Mytilus edulis: one gene and its partner. The protein of the gene in region 1 purifies or fractionates together with the protein of each later gene. This does not show direct contact. Links are inferred from orthologs where the notes say so. Each region holds a gene or a part of one and is shown in the gene's direction. Other genes may lie near its edges.

Region 1 (7,081 bases):
TTTAATTAAAATCTAATAAGATGGTCACCCTCCCTCAGTTGTACAGGAATCAAGATTAGGTACTTACGGAACATAAATTATTTCTATACATGTACCATTTCATGTACATGTATACAACCCTACAGAATGACGATTATGAAGATGCTTGAAACTTTTAATAGAGCAGGGATATAGACGTGCCTTTTATCTCGGACATGATGTCTTAAAGACTGACAAATTGATGATCTTTTTTTGGTGAAAGACATGATTCCAGAAATGACCTATAAATCAACACAAGCGTATAGTCCGTCCGCCCTGATTTCGGTTCGCCCTAGTTACTGTTCGCCCTTGTTCCGTTTCGCCCTGAGACCGTTTGCCCTGATTTTTATTTTTTATTATAGTGTTGTGTTGTGTGTATTTAATTTTATATGTTGAAGTCAGTCTACAATTTTGCCGAATATTTACGAACTATTGAGAACTAAGTTAGTATCTGTATGTAATTACATTACTAGAAAATCACTATCACACATCCTTTTACTTTACATTTCCACACATGATTTGATCAATAAAAATGATACATTAGGAGCACTAAAGTTATACATAAGAAAGTGTTCAAAGTTCAAAGTGTTAATTGATCTAAAATTCTTTACTGCAGCGGCTGAACGTTGTCTAGTGGGTTGTCGGACGGCTTGTCACAGTTTGGCAATAACTTTGTAAAAAATTTATTTGAGAAAAAAGTTATTTTCATTATTAATCCATCAAAGACAATTCATATAACAATCAGTGATATCAAAGATTTCAAATTATCAGCAATCAAAATTCAATCAACAGTAATTAAAAGTAATTATAAAATAAAGTGTAACAATGCAGCCAAGAATTTTATTTCATTAATATTCTGTATTTAACTTTTAATAGATATACATGTACATAAATTTTAAGGGTTACACTAAAGACCTGAAAGTGGACCTGAAAAGACCTGAAAAGACCTGAAAAGACCTGAAAATATACGACTAAAATTATTCAAATTGCAATAACTTTTTTATTATTGGATGGAATTTCTTCAAGTTGGAATTTTATTAATTGTAAATATTCAGATTTCATTCAAATTAAAAAAAAATTAAATAAAAAACAATTTTTTGATGCCAAAAGTTGGACCTGAACGGAGAAATGAAAAGACCTGAAGGGACCTGAAAATCTATGTCGGACTAATTCTAACTACAATAACTTTTTTAATATTCAATGGATATCTTTCAACTTTTGATTTTATGACACAAAAAGTTCAATATAATGATAATATGAAAAAAAATATGTGAAAAATATTGTTGGGGTGTCAAAATTCGGACCTGAACGAAAAATTCAAAATCTGAATGAGCCTAAAATTCCACATTATTTTAAAACGAAAATAATAAACATAGACGAAAAATATGATTGATAACTTTTCATGTTCGATGTCATTTGGTCTCTTGTAGAGATCTGTCTCATTGGTATCACACCACATCTCCCTATTTTTTATTGACAGGAGATACTAACATGATAAAGATTGAAGATACCAAGGAATAATCAAAACTCGGATGTCAAAACTTATAAGTCAAAGAGATATACCATAGAAATAAATAATTGAGAAAAAGGTTTGGTGTCTTTAAACTACAATAACCCCGTCACAATTTTTGTGGTGTCCCAAGTCTGGAACCTGCACTTTGTGACAAACGTCGGACCTGTTGAATGAAAAATGAAGTCCTGAATGAACCTGGATATATATAGCGTCTCGATCGGTATGATGTTAGTCTGGTGTGTTCAGTTAGCAAAGGTAATGGCAATGCAGGAGACATGCTGATATATAATAACGTTGGAAACTATACTTGTACGCACTTTGTTGAATATTTTTATTCTGACTAAAAACGATTCAAAGTTGACTATAATTTATAAAAAGTAAGAGCGTTGATCTGAATTCACTGATTAGTTTGATATATGCTTATATTTTTAATTTGTAAAGTTTATACTTGAATGAATGAATCTTTATTGCAAAGCATAGACAGGCTATGGCAAAATTAACAACATATATTACATAATATAAAACATGAATAGACAACAGAGAACAATAGTAAAATACAATGACATATAAATTGAGTTATGAGACTATATAAGATCGAATATTCAATGCAGCTTTTACATAATTACATAATTTGATCGTGAGAGACTTACTAGAAGCTTGTAGTAAATTTAATAGTTTGATATTATTAGGCCAATGACAATAGTACTTTGGTAAAAATTGTGTTCGTACAGATCTATACTATACTTTAATTGGTGACCGAGCAATGTTTAGTTCGTGTAACAAGATAAAGTGATAATCCAATTAGAAGATTAAAGTGAAATGTTTATTTAGACTAATGATCCAATTATCACCTAATATCAAAACAAGGTGTGAATTACAACCGGCACACGTTCGTGTAATTAAAACATTCCAATCGACGAACTCTTTAAATGACATATGGTTTATGGGGAAGCAATACTAATACTTTCATTTTATAAATAAAGCAGTTTACGACCAGCTTTAATATAGAATAAGAATAAAATATATATTAATGTAGTTTAAACAAGTTGTATTAGTTTGAATAATTTCAACGTACAATCTTCCTCTTTTTTCCCCTTAGGTTCAGGATTCATCAATAACAATGTACTTTGTTTTCAAATATGTTCCTGTATAAATATAAAGTCATTCGTTCTCTTCAATAGACTTTTGTCTAAAATAGAAACAAATAGGAAAACAATGTTTTGCGAGTTTAAATACAACTACCCCTATAATCCATTCATGTCTTTTATTTCACCGACAAGGTCCGAATTTTGTAACTAAATAATTATATTTTCGATAAAATTCTTTATAATTTCATTGATATATTATACCTTTCCTATAACAAAATTCATATTTCAAGGAGAATGATTGAAAACAGTTAAAGATATTGAATAAATCTGACCGCAGTCTTTTCAAGCAAATTTATGTTCCTTAATTTTCCGTTCAGTTCCGAGTTTTCACACCCAAATGGTATTTTTCATATTTTTTTTTTAATTTTATCATTATATTGAACTTTTTGTGTCACAAAAACAAAAGTTGAAAGATATCCATTGAATATTAAAAAAGTTATTGTAGTTAGAATTAGTCCGACATAGATTTTCAGGTCCCTTCAGGTCTTTTCATTTCTCCGTTCAGGTCCAACTTTTGGCATCAAAAAATTGTTTTTTATTTAATTTTTTTTAATTTGAATGAAATCTGAATATTTACAATTAATAAAATTCCAACTTGAAGAAATTCCATCCAATAATAAAAAAGTTATTGCAATTTGAATAATTTTAGTCGTATATTTTCAGGTCTTTTCAGGTCTTTTCAGGTCCACTTTCAGGTCTTTAGTGTAACCCAAATTTTAATATATATATTTTATTTCATCATTAATGTAACGTATCCATTGTACATATATATCATAAATGAAAATAGGGCGAAAGAACCCAGGGCGAACAAACTCAGTGCGAACGAACCTAGGGCAAACATGTAATCAGAGCGAACGATCCCGATACCCAAGCGTACATAATCCTTATAATCATGATACTAACACCAACACTGTACATGCTGTTCTTGCTGTATATGCATACATGTATATATTTTTTTATTTCTAAGTTTATGTTATGTAAAAATTAAATGAAAACTGTTGTTTGTAAACTGTCCTTGTGGGACATTGACTGGTTAAATGGAATATTTCATTTATATAATCTGATAATTTTACAAAAATCAAAGGTCAAAGTTGCAAAGTGACGCATTATCAATCTTTATAAAAACATATATACACAAATAATAAAGATAACTCTTTAAAATGATATGCAAAAAAAGTATTATCGTTAGTTTACCGTCTGATTAGCTAATTTTGTTCTGCAGCACCTCGAAAACATTTTTATGCAACAATATTTTTACCCCGGAAGTAATCGGACTGTTGAAATATTAAAACAAATGCGGGCAGAAACGACATTCGTATTGGTCAAGACTGACTTGCTTCCCTGCTTGCTTCAAGGCTTCAAGTGCAAGATGCCAAAACCTCAACATATAGACCATTCCCCCGAAGCTAGCATAACTACACCAAAAGAGGACATTGCCAATGTCCCCAAATTTGGTTGGAGAGTAAACTTCGAACATGAATGCAAGGACAAATGTGATCCATTTGTAAAACCCAGACTCACCCACATTCCTGAATTAATTGGTCTTAGCTATAGGTAAACGTTTTACATTGTGACCAGACATTGTACATTATGCCACATATTAAACATGGTTATAGGTACGAATTTACTAGGGTGTTTCAAGTTTTTAAACATGCATAAAGACTGGCAAGGTACTTTGTGGAAAGGTGCTGTTGCACATGCATCAAAATTGCATGCTCCTTCTAGACAAATCAAGAAAGATTTATGTTTGTTTCTTTAAAAATTTGTTGGCTAAATTGTACCGTTCTTTTGCCTCATTGCACATGTTGCAAAAATAGACTGATTAGTCCAGGATGCACAACATTTCCTATAACTGGAAATCATGGAATCTTTGCTTGTATATGATAACATTTTATTTGAATGAACAAGATTAAGAAAGAAATTTGTGTCAGGGATTTGAATTGGATGAAAAAACTTCTGAAATTTGTTATTTGTTTACGTTGCAGCCATCTATATTCCAAGGCACATATCACATAATTTCTTTTTCTATATTATTACAGCATCTGGTCTGTTTCTAACATACATGTATGTGGATGACATTACTTTTGCCAGAAAATGTTCCTTTTTATCACAAAATTGTGTTTCTACAAAACCTTTCCTACAATAATTTTGTATTTTTTTACACTTGGCAAGTCAGATGACTTATATAGAGAGATACCGTTTAACAGAAATACACCAGGAAATTTTCAAGCAATTTCTTTAATATGATTCCAATATGGCCTTTATATGAGCCTTGATGCAAATGCTCTATTCATTGAATGTTGAACTTCAGGCGCGGATTCAGAGGGGGGGTTCTGGGGGTTGGAACCCCCCCTTTTTTTTGGACGATCAATGCATTTGAATCGGGACATGTAATTGGAACCCCCCCTTTGTCCTGGGTTAGGAACCCCCCCTTTTTAAAAGGACTGGATCCGCCCCTGAACTTGGATAGTGTATTTTCCATAAGTTTAGTTCTAAAATGCTTACGGTAAATGTCAAAGGTTAAAAGAATTCTTATGTGTCTGTTGGTGGCATGATGCAAGACAAAATCGTAACATCATGAAATATTTTCCACTGCAAACAACAATTAATCTATTTATCAGAAAAATGTTATTGAATGTCGGAAAGTCTAAAACTTTGTACTGTTGGTTGTTACAGATATATGAAAGTATGGATAAAGCACAAAAGACAGGGAAGAATAATGTTTATAGATCATCTCAATCAAGTTACTCACAAGCCTATTTATGGTAAGAATTAACAGAAGACATAGTTTGTGTTTAACTGAATCCCCAAATTGAGTGGACCACTGCATCAAGTCTTGGTATCTGAGTCGTCTAAGGAGTTTATCTACTGTTTCACTAGTCTGTCCACAATGTGGTATCAGGTTTCCTACTGAAACTTGCCTCAGTGGTTCTGCTCAGAGACCTGGGCTTCAAAACTAATAAAAACTGACCACCATAGTATTGACAATAGTTTTGAAGGGTGATTTATATACCAAAAAATTCTGACAGGATTTTTTTCCTATTTTGAGACTCGTCAATCAATTTTAATATCTAGAATTGGAGACGCATTGTATTGCTCAAAATTTTTCTTGATGATCTGCTTTTATGTCGACAAACATGGTAACTTTTTTGTGACGTTTCAATAACATGTTAAATATCTGTCAATGAGACAGTAAACAAATGATAAAAAAAAAAAACCCCAAAAAGATAGCTTGTCAGAGAAAATTTGACAGGTCAGGTTTTAACAATAAACCTGAAATAAAGGTCACAGGTCATATTAAATGGGTAAAACTGATACATACTAAATTCAGGTCCCGTAACTTAGAATGAGTTCGACATGTTAGATATGATGAAATAATACAATATTTGTAGGACTTTTTTCTAGTGAGAATTCTTTAAATATACTTGTACATATTTTGCAGGTGGTCTTATAAGGGATATAGATTGTGGAATGGTTTAATCTTGTTTATTTTGCATGATTTCTGTATGGCAATGTAAGTTGTGGGCCAATTGACTGTTTCTGCCTGGGAAAGTTGTGTTGGTTTACTGTCAATTCAGAAATTATTGTGAGGTTTTTATTATTGCGAAAAATGCAACAAAGTTGTAAACGCAATAATTTAAACTAGCATTTTGAAATATTTTATATAATTTTTTTCTCAATATCCTAAAAATTGAAATCACATTTAAGTCTAAAATGACAAAATCACAATAGTAAATGCCGGCAATAATTTCTGAATTTACAGTAACTATATCATTTATGTATATTTATTACAAGTGCATGGTTGAGGATTTTTTTAATAATTTTGTAGATATTTCATAATATGTTTAGTGGTTGTCTTATTAGTGGTATGGATTGTGGTGTCAAGAAATAGAAGTTCCTTTAATCTTGTATTGTAAGAAGAATTCTTAAGATAAACTGTTACATATTTTACAGGCTGTCCAATAGGTGGTATAGGGTGTGGGACCATTGGTCGTGGTTACCGAGGTGAATTTTGTAGATTTCAGATGGTGCCAGGGATATATGAACATACTATTGTACCAGCAAATTCTGTAAGTACAATAATAACTGCAATCTTCATGACCTACCATTGTCAAACCTAATGAGAGTGGTATAATGCTATTCTGGTGTATGCCATCTGTTTGTCCATCTGTTCATTCCATAAAAGTTCTGCCACATTTTTCTACGGTATTACATTTACATATCAAAACTTCCTTAAATTCAGATTTTGAACTTTTTGTTAACTGAATACCTATAATATATTGTTACAAATTCTGACCATGTATGAAATTTAGTGTTCAGGAACTATAAATAAGAATTTTCTGAAATGTGGCATCAATATTGTTGGAAAGGTATTTTACTGTGGAGCACATGGAAAAATTAT
Region 2 (7,282 bases), on another chromosome or scaffold:
CTCTTAAAATTCAAGAGTCTTTCTTAAATTGTGGGTAAATTAAATGGCCTTCCAAATACCGTTTCGATCCCTAACATCACTGAAGAGACATTTATTGTCGAAATCCGGATCTGGTGTACACAAAAAAAATATTGACACCTTATGTTTGTGGCATAACATCTTGGACACAACTTTATTGTTTTCTGTTTAGTATTAAATTTGTATTAGGATCTATTTTGTTACATCTTGTAATCAATTTCATTTGGCAATCACCAATGGCAGTCAGCAGGGTTAAAGAACATCAAGTGTTCGACCTGTTAGTCAAATGCGTTTTGTTTAAAAAATACTTTTTCACTGTTTTGATCTTTTGGAAATGTTGTTTGTGCTGTATTTAGACCCTTCTGCAACGAAATTTGTTTTACATGCACACGAATAAAAATTGCGGTTTTTATCCAACATAGGTTTGATCGAGTTTCAATTTAGACTTGTTTATATTTGTCTTAATATATATATATATATATATGTGTGTGTTTTCACCTCAAAAACTAACAAAACCTTTTAATAGACTTATCAAGAAGGGATATAGTTACGATGCTGTTGTCAGGTCATTAAAGATTGCTTATTTTGGAGTTAATATTGATTCACTTATAGGGTCTTTGCATCGGAACTAAACACATGAAATAAAAAACCAGTTGTTGGCATGACACGGGTTTTGTTCTTCTCATATATGTTATGATGGTATCATACTTAACCCCTAACGGGAAGGATTGTGTCTGATATTCATATGATGAAATCATAATCTTTCAATCAGTTTAATTAAAGTCTGGAGCTGGCATGTCAGTTAACTGCTAGTAGTCTGTTGTTTATGTATTATTGTCATTTTGTTTATTTTCTTTGGTTACTTCTTCTGACATCAGACTCGGACCTCTCTTGAACTGAATTTTAAATGTGCGTATTGTTATGCATTTACTTTTCTACATTGGCTAGAAGTATAGGGGGAGGGTTGAGATCTCATAAACATGTTTAACCCCGCCGCATTTTTGCGCCAGTCCCAAGTCAGGAGCCTCTGGCCTTTGTTAGTCTTGCATTTTTTAATTTTGGTTTCTCGTGTACAATTTGAAAATTAGTATGGCGTTCATTACCACTGACATAGTATATATTTGTTTAGGGGCCAGCTGAAGGACGCCTCCGGGTGCGAGAGTTTCTCTCTACATTGAAGACCTGTTGGTGACCTTCTGCTGTTGTTTTTTCTATGAGCAGGTTGTTGTCTCTTTGACACGTTCCCCTTTTCCATTCTCAATTTTATTTGTTTGCATGCATAAAGCATAAAATATTTATTTAAAGTCTGTTATATGTAATACAACATAAGCTCTGTAAGTCAGTAACCTAATGTTCAGTCGGGTTGTCGTTTGTTAATGTGATTCATAAGTGTTTCTCGGTTTTTTATACAGATTATACTATTCGTTTTCCTGTTTGAATTGTTTTACACTAGTCATTTTTGGGGCCCGTTATGTCTTGCTGTCCCCAAGGCTCCATGTTGACGACAGTACTTTAATTTACCTATAATGGTTTACTTTTACAAATTGAGACTTGGATGGAGATTGTCTCATTGGCATACATCTATTTACACCTGGTCGTTGAGCAAACAAAAAATACCAATCGTGTTAGAATGGCTAGGACTGTACTCTGATCTAAGTATTATCAATCGTGTTAGAATGACTAGGACTGTACTCTGATTTAAGTATTATCAATCGTGTTAGAATGACTAGGACTGTACTCTGATTTAAGTATTATCAATCGTGTTAGAATGGCTTGGACTGTACTCTGATTTAAGTACGTATTATCAATCGTGTTAGAATGGCTTGGACTGTACTCTGATTTAAGTATTATCAATCGTGTTAGAATGGCTTGGACTGTACTCTGATTTAAGTATTATCAATCGTGTTAGAATGACTAGGACTGTACTCTGATTTAAGTATTATCAATCGTGTTAGAATGACTAGGACTGTACTCTGATTTAAGTATTATCAATCGTGTTAGAATGGGTAGGACTGTACTCTGATTTAAGTGTTATCAATCGTATTAGAATGACTAGGACTGTACTCTGATTTAAGTATTATCAATCGTGTTAGAATGACTAGGACTGTACTCTGATTTAAGTATTATCAATCGTGTTAGAATGACTAGGACTGTACTCTGATTTAAGTATTATCAATCGTATTAGAATGACTAGGACTGTACTCTGATTTAAGTATTATCAATCGTGTTAGAATGACTAGGACTGTACTCTGATTTAAGTATTATCAATCGTGTTAGAATGACTAGGACTGTACTCTGATTTACAGTTGTGATTTGGACTTTGTATTGCATTTTCATTAAAAATCAGACTTTTTAAAAAATGATTCATTATCGGTGTGCTCTTTCCAATTTTTACAAATAATCGATTCACTGTCAACATTTCAATCAGTTGAATAACATATTAAGCAAACACGATTTGTGAAAATAATTCTGTTTAAAAATCGGAATAAAAATAAGACAAGGTAGACAGAGAAACCATAAAAAGATATTCAAGTATGTTTTCTATTGATACAGGGAACCATATGATTTATACTCTTTATACTCAGCATTCTTCTTGTTCTTTTTTCATTTTATTTTGGTTATCTTTTGGTGTAGATTTAGTTTTCATGCAAGTGGGTTTATCACCATAAGTCACAAAGTTATTTGTGGTTTATGGTTATTACTTATGCATATCTGTATATATATATATAGCCTGCAACTTTTACATTGAGTGCAATCATAAATGTTTTGGCAAACTGGGAGTAGGTCCAGTAAGGGCCAATTTTTGCCTCAATTTTCAAGTTCATCTGACGAAATATTTTAGACACTTTTTAAGTGTCTATTTTAATTGATTCAATTAGTTTTTGTGAAAGATTTCAACTGATTAAGGCATTCAAGATTCAAGCTTAAATATGAAAAATCTATCAAATTTGCAAAAATCGTCACTTTTCAGATGGTTTTTGTCAAAAATGAATGTGGCCGCATCCGTGTTCATCCTCAACCTTCATATATATTATGTATTATCATCAAATACAACCTACATTTCAATATTATGAATGAACACGAATGCGGCCACTTTCATTTTAGACAGAAACCGTCTAAAATTTTACTAAAGTGCTAAAATTATGAAGATTATGAAGTAATTTAGCATGACTTTATGATGCCAGTACCGATATATGTGCATTGTATTGTCAAAAAACAGCCAATACTTATGTAGCAGAATCATTCTACTTTCCAATAAATAGCTTAACGATTACATTATCACAATTTTGTAAAACTGCTATATTTTCGGGCCAAAAAGGGGCCTTACCGAACCTACTCCTTTGTATATAATGTTTTATCAAATTTATGATGCAATGAGATTTTTAACTTTTTTTTTTTTTTTATAACATACAGTTAAAAAAATCTGAGATTTTATTCTTATGCATATGATGTAGCTTAAAATTGACTGATTTTAGAAATATTTTTGTACATGATTAGATATGATTTCATTGCAACAAATGACTGATAAATGTTTTAATTGTATATATATAGAGAACGTTTTATCCTGTAAATAGACAAGAGAAAACTTTCTGTTATGTCCGACATTGTGTTAGTTTTCGCGGGACCGCATACATTCAAATATTGAATTCAGTTCCTTACATGGAAGAAGGAGGAGAAACGAATATATTGAATGAAAAAATTATCTTTATTCTCATAATCCAAATACATAGTTACAGAGAAGATATTACACTCATATATATATAGGATATAGCATGTGTGAAATACAGATTAATATGTTGATAGCTGTTTTCTTATTCAACTTAGTACTGGTATATCAGTAATTATATTTGATATTTTAATGATGACAGTGCATATATTATTAGCACTTTTCACAAGTAAATGTCAAGATTCACTCTTTACAAAGCGGGACCGACAAAATAACAAATTCACTATATTTCTTGAGAAATATGCTATTTTTCTAGTTTGAATTAATAGATTTTAATCAGAGCTCGTCTTTGCCGGTTCCGGCATAATAGCCATTGTCTATTGTTTTTCTCTCCTAAATCAATGTATGTATACGCCGGAGCGTGTTGACATACACGTACGTAGCTGCGCACTCATTTTTCTTGGTTGGGATTAAGCTGTACTTTAAATGGTCCTCAGAGGCAACAGTATATCAAAAGTGTCTCTCTAGATTTATCAATCAAAAGATACAGGTTTAAAGTCCACTATGGGGAGCACAGAATCAGACACCTATTCAAGAGTTTTAAAGAATTGTATTCTCCCATTCAGTGTGTCAGCGGCAGCATTTGGAGCTCTGTTTGTTTTAAGAAAATTTGGCATAATTTACCAGTTGTTTAACAAGGCAAATAAACTTATTTTCTACTGAACCCCACGTCTCACTCACAAATCCTACCTAGCCAGTTCAATGATGTCTATCATCCCTACTTACCTTCTAACAATGTCTAACCTTCTGGTCATGCTAGTAGTAGTTACTGTTGGAGCTTTGTTGTATACCGACAAACCCCAAATTCCGACAATAGTCTGACTGTTCAATAGGCGGTATGGGTCCGCTCGACAGTCTGACAGTTCTATAGTCCGACAGTTCTATAGTCTGACGTTTTGATAGGCTGACATATACAACATGTACAACCAGATATGATACAGACTAATCACAGGCACTAGACTTTCTACCTGGCTTTCCACCTTACTTTTCCAAAACTGAATCCCTGTTATTCATGTTATTGTTTTTAACTTATTTCACAGATAATCCCCCCACACTGTGTAGATAAATCAATTTAGATAAAGGACATAATAAATTTTAAGTAGGTTTGGCAACTGAGAAATCGAAATAAATCAGAATTTCACGACCGAGTGTGTTTTTCAAAAAACCTAATATATAGTAACTTGTGTTATAATAAGGTATACATGGTATATATGATTTTTTTTCTAAGACATGTGCCTCTGCTTGGATGGTCCCGTTCCTAAAACTTTGTCTCCTACCAAGATGTCCACCACAGCTGAACTTAGCTAAACATACTAGGATAATATGGAAAATTCACATAAAGATCTTCTTGTCTGGAACCAGTGGGCCAATTAGGACGAAACTTTGGTTAAATGGTCCATAGCTATAGGTGTTCCCCTTTCAAAGATATTTCCAACATTCTTTAACCTGCAAACAAGATAACCGCTACAATCAAACTTAGTTTAATACCGGCATCACACATTAGTGTATAGCTCCGACATACACTGGGCGTGGTAAAAAATCCTGTATGCTGCCAATACGCTAGTAAAAAAACCTAACCCTAAATGCTGTGCTTAAAAATGGTGTTAAAACACAAAAAATCAAAATCAAATCTAAACATTTTATGACTGATATTTTGATTAGTTTTCTTATCAATTATATATATATAATCAATATATTTGTTGTTTTAACTCTACACAGGTAGACCTAGATGTTTTTTCTTCCTAATTTAAATACAAAACAGTGTAGCTATTACTGATCATTTAAGCATTGTTTAATCAGGAGAAAATTAGAAGCAATAAAAGGGAAAAATATCACTAACACAACTAATCAACTCAGATGCAAAATAGTCAGCAATAAAGGTTGTATTTCACGAAAGTTTAACAATAAATGTTTAAAAAGCATTAAACCAATCATCATGCGTAATACTCAACTGGTATAACAAAATATCCAATTCCTTGAATACACATAAAGTTGAACTAAAAAAAAATACATACAGAAACCCCAAAAATGTTAATTAGTGAATATTTCTGGACAACAAGAAGAAGAACACTTCCTTGTTTTGATCTTCACAAATAAGGAAAAAAAATACTGAAAAAATATATATATATTCAACATATTCATCACGAATGTCATGGGTGCTGATCATGAAATGACTACATGGGGTGCTGATTTAAACAGGTGCAAATTTGACTAGGTCACGATTTGATTATACCAGGTGCTGATTTATCCAGATGCCATTTGAGTAGAACTTGCCTGATACTTAGACATGTTAGATAGTCCAATAACCTCACAGTCCGAATGACAAAAATTGATCATCATGACGCTCTGTTGCAGAAGAGGATACTGCCTTCACAAAAGCTAACTAGCAATGACTAGTAAACAGTCAAAAGAAAGCAGTGATTAGAATTTCCATTAGTGGAATGTGTTGTAAATTATTGGGATCCAAATTGAATACTGATTAAACAATTATTTTAAGATTCCATTCATGATCACTTTTTCAAATTTAGGGATCTCCATGACTGGTTTTATGATAGCAACTGCCCAGTTGAAATATCTGCTGCCACTCCCAAATAATCCCCGCCATTGTGATAATTTATTGTTGTTTCTCTAGCCGCAGCGATTTTTAGCAATTATGATCAATTGAATGAGAGAAAACACTTGATCAAGATTGATTGCATTATTTAGTTATTTTACCATGTTTACAGCAAATGCTTTAGAAAATTAAGATTGAAAAATAAATCTAATACATGTCATTGCATGTAATAATTCACTTACAAAGACAAAAAAGTTAAAAACATTCTTTTACATTGACTTGCACAAACAGCTCCCCTTTTAAATGAGTACAAAATAAGACATAAAACAGATAATGATTGTGTTGTTTGGCATAAAACTATTATAATTTCATACCAAATAAAATGAGTACAAAAATTATCTATAAATTTGAATCACTAAATGCAAGTTTAGAAGTAAATACTTGAATATTAACTGCAACTTCATAATCTGAAGAAATTTCTTATCATAATTCTGAATTCATTTTGTAGCTAACAATCAAATTAATACAAACCAGTGTTTTGTATATATATTTCTAATACTATGTCAATTTATCCCTTTCTGCACCCATTGTATAAAATTTTTTAATCAACTTGTGGTTTGTTTAATTTCAGTTCTTCATTGGTTAAAATATTATTATGAAGTCGAATATTCTTGTTTTCCTCCGAATTTCCTTTTGTGACGGCATGAAAAAAGGCGACCATGCCTGATGACGTCACATAGAATGAACACATCTTTTTGCAGATCAGTCGCAAAGAAGCAATAAGTTTGCTTGCCTATTGTTTCAAAATCATTAGAGAAACAGATTCCACCACCAAACCTTGTATAATACGATATTTATCCACTCTCGACAATTAAATTTTAAATATTTAAAACACTCTGCAAGCCTCCCATTTTAAATTTGAAAATTTAACTGTCTTGAGTGGATGAATATTGTATCACACTCGATGCAGTGGTAGAATCTAT

What was found.
Region 2: the proteins of non-lysosomal glucosylceramidase-like (region 1) and 2-hydroxyacyl-CoA lyase 2-like purify together in Homo sapiens (co-immunoprecipitation; 3 studies listed by BioGRID and IntAct, counting the BioPlex papers as one, with this or other methods). This does not show direct contact. The link is inferred for Mytilus edulis from reciprocal best matches to the Homo sapiens genes GBA2 and HACL2.

The regions. Positions count from the first base shown.
Region 1 is NC_092347.1:28,764,472-28,771,552, forward strand, and holds the start of non-lysosomal glucosylceramidase-like, read left to right. Parts: upstream 1-3,972; 5' UTR 3,973-3,973; coding exon 3,974-4,233; intron 4,234-5,355; coding exon 5,356-5,444; intron 5,445-6,633; coding exon 6,634-6,749; intron 6,750-7,081. Other genes in the region: electron transfer flavoprotein subunit alpha, mitochondrial-like, read right to left, coding at 3,874-3,915. UniProt on the Homo sapiens protein: Non-lysosomal glucosylceramidase that catalyzes the hydrolysis of glucosylceramides/GlcCers (such as beta-D-glucosyl-(1<->1')-N-acylsphing-4-enine) to free glucose and ceramides (such as N-acylsphing-4-enine).
Region 2 is NC_092350.1:93,317,717-93,324,998, forward strand, and holds the start of 2-hydroxyacyl-CoA lyase 2-like, read left to right. Parts: upstream 1-4,208; 5' UTR 4,209-4,249; coding exon 4,250-4,384; intron 4,385-7,282. UniProt on the Homo sapiens protein: Endoplasmic reticulum 2-OH acyl-CoA lyase involved in the cleavage (C1 removal) reaction in the fatty acid alpha-oxydation in a thiamine pyrophosphate (TPP)-dependent manner. Involved in the phytosphingosine degradation pathway.